3 linked regions of the Saccharomyces cerevisiae S288C genome follow. Changing the gene in region 1 together with any one later gene gives a genetic interaction. Each region holds a gene or a part of one and is shown in the gene's direction. Other genes may lie near its edges.

Region 1 (3,759 bases):
CAGGTAGACCAAAGGGCGTTAAGGGTAAGTATAAGATGGTTGATGGTGTCATGAAGAATGAACAAAGAGCCCTAAGACGTATCGCAAAGAAGCATCACAAGAAAAAGTAGTAACAAAGAGCATTATTTTTCCATTCCCTTGTATAATATTGAAAATAAAGGAAAAGAAAGCAATAGATATATTATGTATACATAGAATTAATCAAATTATCATCAAAAAACTTATAGGAAACCTATCGTTTTGAATTCAGAAAATACGAGTGCACAGTAGAACAATTTTTATTCCCGTTTTACTGATCTTTTCTTCTTGTTGTTACCAAATACCTTGGAGAAAATGTATATGATGGAGATGAGTAAGCATAGTAACGTACCATTTTTGATCTTGGAATAATCCTTTGTGTCAGGCCTTGGAATTGGTACTAGAAGAGTTGTCGAGTTCAAATGGCGGAATGTAGTATCGTCTGTAAAGAGAGATTCATATCCTAGACCTTTTTTATAAAATGGATTACGGGAAACTTTATTGTCACCTGTGTCGCAGGCTAATATAACTTCTGGATCAAATGAAACTTCTAATTTATCCCCTTTATTATTAGAAGGCTCAATATATCTAGTATGCAATGTCACTTCATTCATTGTGCCGGCTTTCAATTCAAAGATACTTTCAGAACCCCATGCCTTATCTCGAAGAGAGTATTCTGGTAATTCTAAGTCGTCTTCTCCAAAAAGTAGTAAGGGAGAGGATTGGAATTTATCGATAAATAATTCTAACGGCAATTGCAGGTGCATTAGATACATGCATTTAGGGCGTTCTTCGAAATCTGTGAGATCAATCATGATTTTTGGATGCAAACCGATAGGTTCATTCAGATATAGTGATGTCGTAGTCGTCGAGTGATTGTATGCGATATGGCCCTGTTTATACAATAAGGATGTTTTCTGACATCTTTCCATTTTACCATCGTCCATCCTCCAATTACAACGTATTCCACCAATATCGACATCACTTTCATCACTTGCATCCACAAAGAATACACCTACTTCGAGTTTCTCATCTTTCACTCTTGCAATTGTAAATTCTTCACCCTGTTTCAACAGACGATATTCAACAATTTGGATTTGTGTGGGCTCCACTGATATATCATATGTAAAATCTTCTGGATTCCATGACAGATTCAAATCTACTTCGGGAGGCAAGTACTGCTCTATGTCAAACTTCTCACTGTGAAATGAATTGTAGACTGGGTTAGTAATAAACCTTTCCGGCACATCCGAAGAATTTGAGTAAACTGAAAAGCCAGCACTCAGTTCATTTTCTATAACGCTTAAACTTCTAGCCAAGTCCGCTCTGGGCCTCCAAGTGATTCTCGTAAAGGATTTATCCAAGCTTCCAGTCCTCTCTAATAGCCACCTTTGTTGTAAAACCACACCAGAACCTCCACGAACAGTCAAATGAGTGTCATTTTGGCGCATATGATTACCGATATCCTCAGGGGCATTGTAGAGTACAGTCACTCTATGTCTTGTCACCATTACTCAGCTAGAAACGCACACTTCTTGCGTTTATTCTCCTCCCGATTTGATTATGATTAGCGTTTCCATTATTTGATCTTTTTTATCAGGGGGATCTTCAAAGAAAGGAACTTTTTTTAGGAAAAAAAAAATAATCATCTTTTATTACATGTGTAATACTTCAAGCAATCATAAACAAGAGTTAAGAAGGCAAAGTTCTGCTGTTAGTGTGTCCTCCAATACTCTTGCACGACAAAGTTTTAGTTATCCCCTTCTACGTGTATTGTTCCTCCGTGGTCGATTGTGTTCAAAGATTGGGAGCTCTTTTCGTGTTTTGCACTAAGAGCATACTGTTAATCCGCAAAGGCCACTAAAACTTACCTGCATTTGTCTACTTAAAGATACATTCCAACTATTTACATTCATTTTTATTTCTAAAAGAGCATTCTGAACCCTCGGCAATTATTTCATACTCCTTCTCAGAATAGGAAAATGCCCAATACGCATACTCAACATGTGCAAATATCAGAGCCAAATCCTGTAAATACTTTGTCTACACCATCCAAAAGAGGTCACCGCCATCGCAGATCGCTAGCAATATCAGGAGATTTTGATTTTTTGAAACAGCCTGCAGCAATTGTGAATTTACCACCTCCACAGGCGGCTGAAAATTGTCCTTCAACTGCCCCAACTGCTGTATCAAGTACATTATCGCCAATACGCTACAATAGATTTCCTTGCAAAACCAATGAAGACGCTGGAACGTTAGATTTGCCTGAACCAAGATTTTATCCGTTATCACCAAAGAACAATCTGCAAACACCAAGTCCACGATTTTTCATTAGTGAAGAGCCAAGTTTTTCATCGCCAGTTAAAGGCGTCCCAGATGCCATTATTAACCTTGACGATGCGTTGAAGACAAGGCCTAGGTCATTTAAATCACATAGAAGATCTGAATCCGCTCCTCCTGATTTGGAGGTTATGGTAGATAAGGGCAATTGTGCAGCCGGTTCTAACTCTATGATTAAAGAAGAAGAGGACTCCTTAATTGAACCAGAATCGAAAAATGAATATTATGAGCAAAAGCTTCCAACAGCACTATTATCCCCACTGCGGCCTTCCCTTTGTGTATCTGAACAGGCCATTGATGTAGATGATTCAGCTCTCAATGGGTCACCGACCCATCACAACCATGGGATGCAAAACGCCAATGCACGGAATTCCAACACATTCAATTCGTTGAAGATCAAAGGCCAAAAGCAAAGATATTATCATTATACGAAGCAGCTACCTTTGACCGTAGGCTGTGACTCGCAATCTCCAAAAGAACAAAGGTCGGCTGCTTCAATGACAATCAATCAGGCAATGACACCTTCTTCCCTGGCCTATACCCCTTCTAAACTAGCATCTACTCCCGCAACACCAGTATCCTTTTATGACAGCAATGCGGACATTAACTTAGAAAGTGATAATTTTCCACTAAAAGATAACCCTAGATATGCCAAGGATGGTTATCCTAAAAAGTGCGGCAATTCACAGCTTAATCGTGTGCTGGATAGCGATAAAAGACAGGATTTTAGTGGAGAATCGAGAAGAAGAAGATCGGGCAGTCCTATCTCCCACATGCAACACCGCAACCTGATTGATAATATGAAAGGTAGACGAAACAGTAACACGATAAACTCAATCTTCAACTACAAGAGTCAACATTATGAAATGCCATATGATGATATGATGAAAAATGAAAACATTAATGCACAGTCCATGCCCTTTTCAGTCAACGGTGTCAACAATGAAAATAGTATCGGAGGGGTTATTACGAGAGCGGACGATGCACCCCTTCAACACTCTGTGGTCAAATCCTGTACGCCTGATGGCAAGGAAGAAATGAATAGGCTTAAAAGTAATGACAGTAATGAATATTCCAAGTCTGAAGGGCAGATCAGAACCAATTCGCAACTAAGTAAGGACATTCTCATGGGTGAACCAGGTGATATGGTTGATCTGTCCTCTTTTGTCAACGCGCAGAGAAAAGCCTCAAATGAAACTGGTGACTTAGTCTTTAGTTTATCCCAGGATGATGACGCACTGAAAACGTTCCATGCGAGCAACAGCGCAGCAACAAGCAATGAAAGCTGGTGTATTAGCGATGATGCGTTAGGAAAGCAGGCGCAGGACAGTGAAGTTAGGAGGAAAAGAAAATCCAAATTAGGACTCTTTAGACATATTTTTTCAAGGAAGTAATACAACA
Region 2 (3,759 bases), on another chromosome or scaffold:
CCTCAAGAAGATGGTGGCGATGTCATCTCTATGTCTAGCTATTTCTCCTGAATCATGCGGTGCAAACGCAATCTGAGTAGAGGCACCGCCCATGTCCATAAACCCAAATGTAAAATGGTCAGAGACCTCTGGATTATAGTCATTAAAGTGTCCATATAGATAGTTTAAGCCAAGCCAGCCATATAAACCTTCGGTTTCACCATCAATGACTTGAATTTGTGCTGAGCAATCCTCAACCAAAAATTCTGCAGGGTGTTTGAGCCCCTGACACAAACCATCCAAAATGGAAGATTGTATGTCTTGAGGTAAAAGGCGCATGCCCGCGGTTGCTTGAATAAAAACGGGACAACTCGACCAATGTGATTCAGGGATAATATTCTTAGCAAAATCTAGTAACGGCTTGATGTGAGATTTGTACGCATCTTGAGGTTTTTTTTCAAAACTCGACAAGCCTGGATTCAGCTTAAAAGTCCAGTCTTTTTCTTGATGAATATGAGGTACTGATTGTAATATGGACTGTGAGTCCTGGTTTGTTGCATGAAGAAGCGATTCCGTGTCCTGCCACTTAAACACATGGATTCTCGAACCCGAAGACCCTGCATCTATGACGATACCAAACCGATCATTAGTGTTTTCTATGAGCATAAGAGGGCAGACGGGGAAATAAAAAAAGCCACGTTAGATATAGTATTTTACTTTATACAGCTAAAACGCAAATACGATATATACGAACGAAATAACATGACGATAAATCTCTGTTTATCATCGTTTCTTTAAAGAAAATAATGAGGCGAAAAAGTAAAAAAAGCTATGATTGTGTGAAGTTGTTGAAAATCCGTAATTCATTGAACCCGTACGCGCGCAAAAGTACGTCACAGTAAAATACAACTGTAGCTGCGAGAAGAAGCCGTTGGTTGATTTAGGTAGCAATCTTCTCCAGAGAAGCTGAGATGTCAAGAATGTCCTTGCTGGAGACAAACTGAACCTTGTCTTTCCCAGAAGTATTCAACGCCAAATGAACACCAACTTTTCCTACCTCATCGCCATAAACTGGATAGCCTAGCAACCTCTGGAATCTAGAACGGTACACGCGAGTGCCCAAAGCAGCAGTCAGATTGCCGCCAAATCCGCTTTGTTTAGAATTTGTCCGTTCACCAAGGAGAGGGCCTGGGCGCAAAATTATAATGTGCTTAAAATCAAGAGCGATAACATCGCGTTCAATCTCGCCCTTCATCTTCATGTAGCCGAACCTGGAGTCCGGATGAGCACCAGCGGAAGAAACGAGAACGATCGTTTCACATCCTTTTTCCTTGGCAGCCTGGGCCAATTGTAAGTTTAAATCATGATCGATCTTGTATTGCTTGTCCAAACCGCCTGCAGCTGCCCTTGTCGTTGCCAGTGCGGTGAATAGCACCTGCGGATTCATTTCATTGGTGATCAATTGTGACCACTTTGAATTATCCCTTTCTACTATGGCCACAACTTTATCAGTGGCCGGAAAGGGCAATTCCCTTCTCAAGATCGCGTATACCTTAGAGAACTGGGGTGCCTCCTGTGCGTGCCTCAGAAACCCGCCTCCGCATAAACCTGTAGCGCCTAATACCAACCCATTCATCGTTGCTTGTGCTCTTCTATATAATCCATCCTATCTTTCTCATCAGTAGGAGGTCGATCTTATGCAAAGTTCGCCACCAACAGCTGCAGTTACATCATATCGCGGAAACTCCGCACTGGCATCGTGCCGCGCGACAAGCGCAAGGATGAGAATCATGAAAACCTTGCTACAACAAGATGCCAATAAAGTCGTTCCCTGATATAGCTAGTACTTTGCGGGAGTAATTTGTTATTCTGCTTTCTTTTGCACTTTGATCATGCCAAGTCTCGTGGTGCACTATCCATTTCGTGCTGCTTGGTTATTGTAGCAATTTTTTGTCGCGTCCGTGTCCTTTTTCGCCGCGATTTACGTATTTAAATATACACGTCGCAATCTTAGTATATTTCTGTATAAAATGTTTGTTTCTTGTAATCATTCAACACTAAACACGTAAAGAACATCAGACCAGAAAATTTTAAAACATGTCCAACAAGCTGTTCAGGTTAGATGCAGGTATGTGCCATTTTTCGTCAAATATTTTGAATACTTTGAGTATTTTTTTTTTTTTTTTTTGGTACACTAACTAACGCGTACGACTCTATGTAGGCTACCAACAATACGACTGGGGTAAAATCGGCTCTTCTTCAGCTGTCGCTCAATTTGCTGCCCATTCTGACCCCTCTGTTCAAATTGAACAAGATAAACCATATGCAGAGTTATGGATGGGTACCCACAGCAAGATGCCTTCCTACAACCATGAGTCTAAGGAATCCCTGAGAGATATCATCTCCAAGAACCCCTCTGCCATGTTAGGTAAGGACATTATTGATAAGTTCCACGCCACAAATGAATTGCCCTTCCTTTTCAAAGTTTTGTCCATTGAAAAAGTCTTGTCTATTCAAGCACATCCCGACAAAGCCTTGGGTAAAATATTGCACGCTCAAGATCCTAAGAACTATCCTGATGATAATCACAAACCTGAAATGGCCATCGCTGTGACTGACTTTGAAGGTTTCTGCGGGTTCAAACCTTTGCAAGAGATTGCAGATGAATTGAAACGTATTCCTGAATTACGCAACATTGTTGGTGAAGAAACTTCCAGGAATTTTATTGAGAACATTCAACCTTCTGCTCAGAAAGGTTCCCCAGAAGATGAGCAAAACAAAAAGCTATTGCAAGCTGTTTTCAGCAGGGTCATGAACGCTTCGGATGACAAAATCAAGATTCAAGCTCGCTCCTTGGTCGAAAGATCAAAGAATTCTCCATCAGACTTTAACAAACCTGATTTACCAGAATTAATTCAAAGACTGAATAAACAGTTCCCTGATGACGTGGGTTTGTTTTGTGGATGTTTATTGTTGAATCACTGCAGATTGAATGCTGGTGAAGCCATCTTTTTAAGAGCTAAGGATCCTCACGCCTATATAAGCGGTGATATTATGGAATGTATGGCTGCTTCTGACAACGTAGTTAGAGCAGGCTTCACTCCAAAATTCAAGGATGTTAAAAACTTGGTCTCCATGTTAACCTATACATATGATCCTGTGGAAAAGCAAAAAATGCAGCCTTTAAAGTTCGACAGGTCCTCTGGTAACGGTAAGTCAGTTTTATATAACCCTCCAATCGAAGAATTTGCTGTATTGGAGACTACTTTTGATGAGAAACTTGGTCAAAGGCATTTTGAAGGTGTTGATGGTCCAAGTATCTTAATCACTACAAAAGGTAATGGTTACATTAAAGCAGATGGCCAAAAATTGAAAGCTGAACCCGGTTTTGTCTTTTTCATCGCTCCACATTTGCCTGTTGATTTGGAAGCTGAAGATGAGGCGTTTACTACCTATAGAGCCTTTGTGGAACCAAATTAGCTTTCTTTCTATTTCTTAATTTTCTTATATCTATAATAGAGAAAATATTATACTTATTTATTTGAAGTCTACTTTATTTCACAGTTTTCTATTTGCTTCTCACGTTCTATAATATAGTGGAATGGAAATATCAAACATAATTTGCTGTTCTCTAAAACACTTGATATTGATGCATAAAAACATATATAGATACATATATAAATATTACGTGGTAATCAATTGGTAGTTGCCATTGGTTTATTTTGATGCAATACCGTTTCTTTTTTTCCACCTTAATAACCTTCTTTTCAAGTCACCCTC
Region 3 (3,180 bases), on another chromosome or scaffold:
CTCTTTGCAATGCGCCTACATTAGCCCAAGTAACATCAGGTACCGTAGCGAACCCTTCTCTCTTTGCTGTTGGTTGAATTGTTGGCAACGCTTTCAAAAAATCTTCGTACTTAATCGATAATAATGATAACTGCTCTCCTGATAAAGGCTCAGGATAATTACGAATAAATTGTTGGACTACGGATAAAGGCAACGGATCGATCATATTCGCAGTGTTCTTCAGGCTAGATTCATCTCCGTTTGCTGTTTCATCAATTTCCATGTTATCTTCTGAACTGTCCGTTGCCGTAGTTGGTGTGGATTTTATATTAGCATAGGTTTGGAAAATTCTTTTAATAGCGCATGTACCGGCAGCAGTAACTAAAGCCTTTAAATCAGCGCCAACAAAGCCTGGGGTTAATTTTGCCAATTTGGCAAAATCGATAGCACCATCAATTTTTAGGTTATCAGACATTTTCTTTAAAATATGTAACCTTGAGACTTCATTCGGGACATTCAGGCATATTTCTCTATCGAATCTACCTGCTCTTCTCAATGCTGCATCCAAAGAGTCAGGTCTATTCGTGGCACCTATGATAATAACAGGTTTTCCATTTGTCTTTTCCATCGTTAATTCATCCATTGAGGTCAATAATTGGGCAACTATTCTTCTCTCCATTTCTCTTTGGGCTCCTCCATCACGTTTTGGTGTAATGGCATCTATTTCATCAAAGAAAACAAGACATGGTGCCAAGCTTCTCGCTTCATCAAACAAATCCCTAATCTTTTTCTCGCTTTCCCCAGACATACCACTTACGACTGAAGGTGCAGAAATAGATATAAATGGGACTTGTAATTCTCCAGCTAACGCATTAGCAATCGACGTCTTACCGCAACCCGGTGGGCCATGCAACAGAACACCTCTAGGTGGTTCGACACCCGTGGATAAAAATATCTCTGGATGAAGAATGGGTAGACCTATTAGTTCCATAAGTTGTGCAACGACATCATCCATACCACCTAAGGATTTCAGAGACGAATTAGGTGGAGATCTATCTTCCTTGATTTTTTGACGTTTTACCTTACATGTACCTTCTTTGGATCTTTTTTTAGATTTTTTAACCTCTTCTGTCTTAGGATCATCAGTTTCTGTTATAGACTCGGAAACAGATCCAGATTTGGACCACGTGCTAGTTATGCGTTTGTTCATCTCATTTGTGTCTCGCTCAATCATCATATTTTTCTTAGCTAGTTCTTCTTCCAAGCTTGGTTTCTCTTCCTCTTCGTTGTTGTAACCTGGGTAAGAACCAAATTCTTCCAATTCTGATTCAATCACGTCTTTTAGCATGCGGTCAATTGTCTTTTGTAAGACAACTTTCTTAACTCTTTGAAGTGATAAATCTTTAGTCAAACAAAAGGTAAAAATCTCACCTGCTGTTAAATCTTTAGCGAAAAACATGGATTCAAATATATCCTCATCTTCTTCACCCTCGTTGTTCTCGCCCTCTTCTCCTTGGGATTCTTGTCTCAGAGACCTTTTTCTGTCCAAAGTTTTTTCTTCCAAGAGACGATAGATAAGATCGACGATCTTGTTATCTAGAGAACTTGTTAATGAGTTCTTTTTCGACTTTACTTTAACCATTATTCCAGCCTTCCCACCACGTAGCTATTATCGGCCCTAATGATCTTTTATTCTAACTGACTCGCAGATTAATTCACACATCGGTTGTTAATCATTGTTTGAATTTCCAAAATATGCGATGAGCTGAATGAAAAATTTTGGAACCTGTCACTATCGACGAACATCGAAGTTTGCCATGACAACCATATATGAAGAAAGCTTATGAGACTAGCTCGAGTATATCATACGTATGCATGTTAATCGCAGTTAAGCGGATAACACAATGCGTAAGCCTTCTATTACGATAACAACAGCAAAAGCTATTATAACTCCAGACTATACTCTTATTAAATCGCATTCTAAATACCAACTTCCTTCACGTTTTCAAAAGCTAGATGCAGACTCACCTGAGAGAAGTACAGTTGTTAAGCTATTTTACCGCCGATTTATGAGGCTTAAGCCTTTCATATCGAATGTGAAAATGGTTAAAGATACTTACAGGGATTATGTTCGATATAAGTTTATGAAAGAAAACTACGAACTCAAACGATACTTGGTATTCAATCCTGATGGCTTGAGGTCGAAAATCAATCTTGAGCTTCTCAGCAACACGAAATGTTGTGAAAGGATACTCCCCGTGACTGAGATGCAAAGAACCTTGGAATTTGTTCTGAAGAGCTGTTCATACTTGCCCGAAACAAAAGTTCAAAAGTGGGATATTGCAAGGGACAACACATATTGCAGGCAAATTTTAAAGAACCTTTTAACAATGCAATATGAAAAGTACAGATCGATTTTGCATAGAGGAATAGGCCATGATGAGCTTGACGTCAAATTCTCTCATTTGAAAACTACTTCTAGTCCGCTAACTAAGCTAAATAAAACCGAAAAGAAAAAGATTCCGCTTTTCAAAGTATTTAGTGATTTCGATACAACATTGATATATCTCAATGAGACATTAGGTACAAGGTTATAAAGATCATTATCGTAAAAGAGGAGCGGAGCGGAGCTTTTTAGTATGTATGGTAAAATATCAATCAAATACTGTAATAGATGCGGATATGCGCAATGACATATTTTGTGGTGTGCATATCCATTGAAAAGGTGCGTAGAACGTTACAATACTACTGAACTTTTTTCCTTCTCATTTTCTGCCATTTTGATATTTATGCCTATTATTGGTTTGAGCTTTATTAGAGTTGGCATAATTATAATCGTACTCGTATGTATATCCGTATCCATACCCATATCCGTTGTAATAAGTGTTTGGTATATATCCTTTGATGGCTTGGGCTCCTCCTACCGTCGTTATAACAGGCATTTTGTGGCGTTGTGGTGAGGCTCCTGATTGGCTGGTATTATCGATGGTCGTACGACTTTTGGCATTATTCATTGATCTGAAATTGCCATTGGTATTGCTATTACTGGTGTTACTCTTGCTGGAGGCAGACCCTAGAACAAATTTTTTAATTATTTTTTTAAATATTATTTTCGTCTTTTGTGTTTCCAAATAATTGGATAGTAATTCGATTGCTTTTGTTAGAGTATTCTCATTAGTATCCTTTTCAAAAGTAAAAGTG

The links.
Region 2: mutations in LRE1 (region 1) and PMI40 together harm fitness more than expected from each alone (negative genetic interaction), as found in Saccharomyces cerevisiae (one large-scale study listed by BioGRID).
Region 3: mutations in LRE1 (region 1) and IRC19 together harm fitness more than expected from each alone (negative genetic interaction), as found in Saccharomyces cerevisiae (one large-scale study listed by BioGRID).

Annotation. Positions count from the first base shown.
Region 1 is NC_001135.5:33,865-37,623, forward strand, and holds LRE1 (Lre1p), read left to right. Parts: upstream 1-2,000; coding exon 2,001-3,752; downstream 3,753-3,759. Other genes in the region: SPB1 (27S pre-rRNA (guanosine2922-2'-O)-methyltransferase), read left to right, coding at 1-110; PBN1 (Pbn1p), read right to left, coding at 279-1,529. UniProt on the Saccharomyces cerevisiae protein: Overexpression affects chitinase expression, cell separation and budding pattern, and increases trehalose accumulation and heat resistance by inhibiting protein kinase CBK1.
Region 2 is NC_001137.3:157,436-161,194, reverse strand, and holds PMI40 (mannose-6-phosphate isomerase PMI40), read left to right. Parts: upstream 1-2,076; coding exon 2,077-2,107; intron 2,108-2,200; coding exon 2,201-3,459; downstream 3,460-3,759. Other genes in the region: YND1 (apyrase), read right to left, coding at 1-645; FMP52 (Fmp52p), read right to left, coding at 920-1,615; NOP16 (Nop16p), read right to left, coding at 3,697-3,759. UniProt on the Saccharomyces cerevisiae protein: Involved in the synthesis of the GDP-mannose and dolichol-phosphate-mannose required for a number of critical mannosyl transfer reactions.
Region 3 is NC_001144.5:71,526-74,705, forward strand, and holds IRC19 (Irc19p), read left to right. Parts: upstream 1-1,883; coding exon 1,884-2,576; downstream 2,577-3,180. Other genes in the region: putative AAA family ATPase RIX7, read right to left, coding at 1-1,621; YLL032C (uncharacterized protein), read right to left, coding at 2,745-3,180. UniProt on the Saccharomyces cerevisiae protein: Involved in sporulation and maintenance of the mitochondrial DNA. Is probably involved in a pathway contributing to genomic integrity.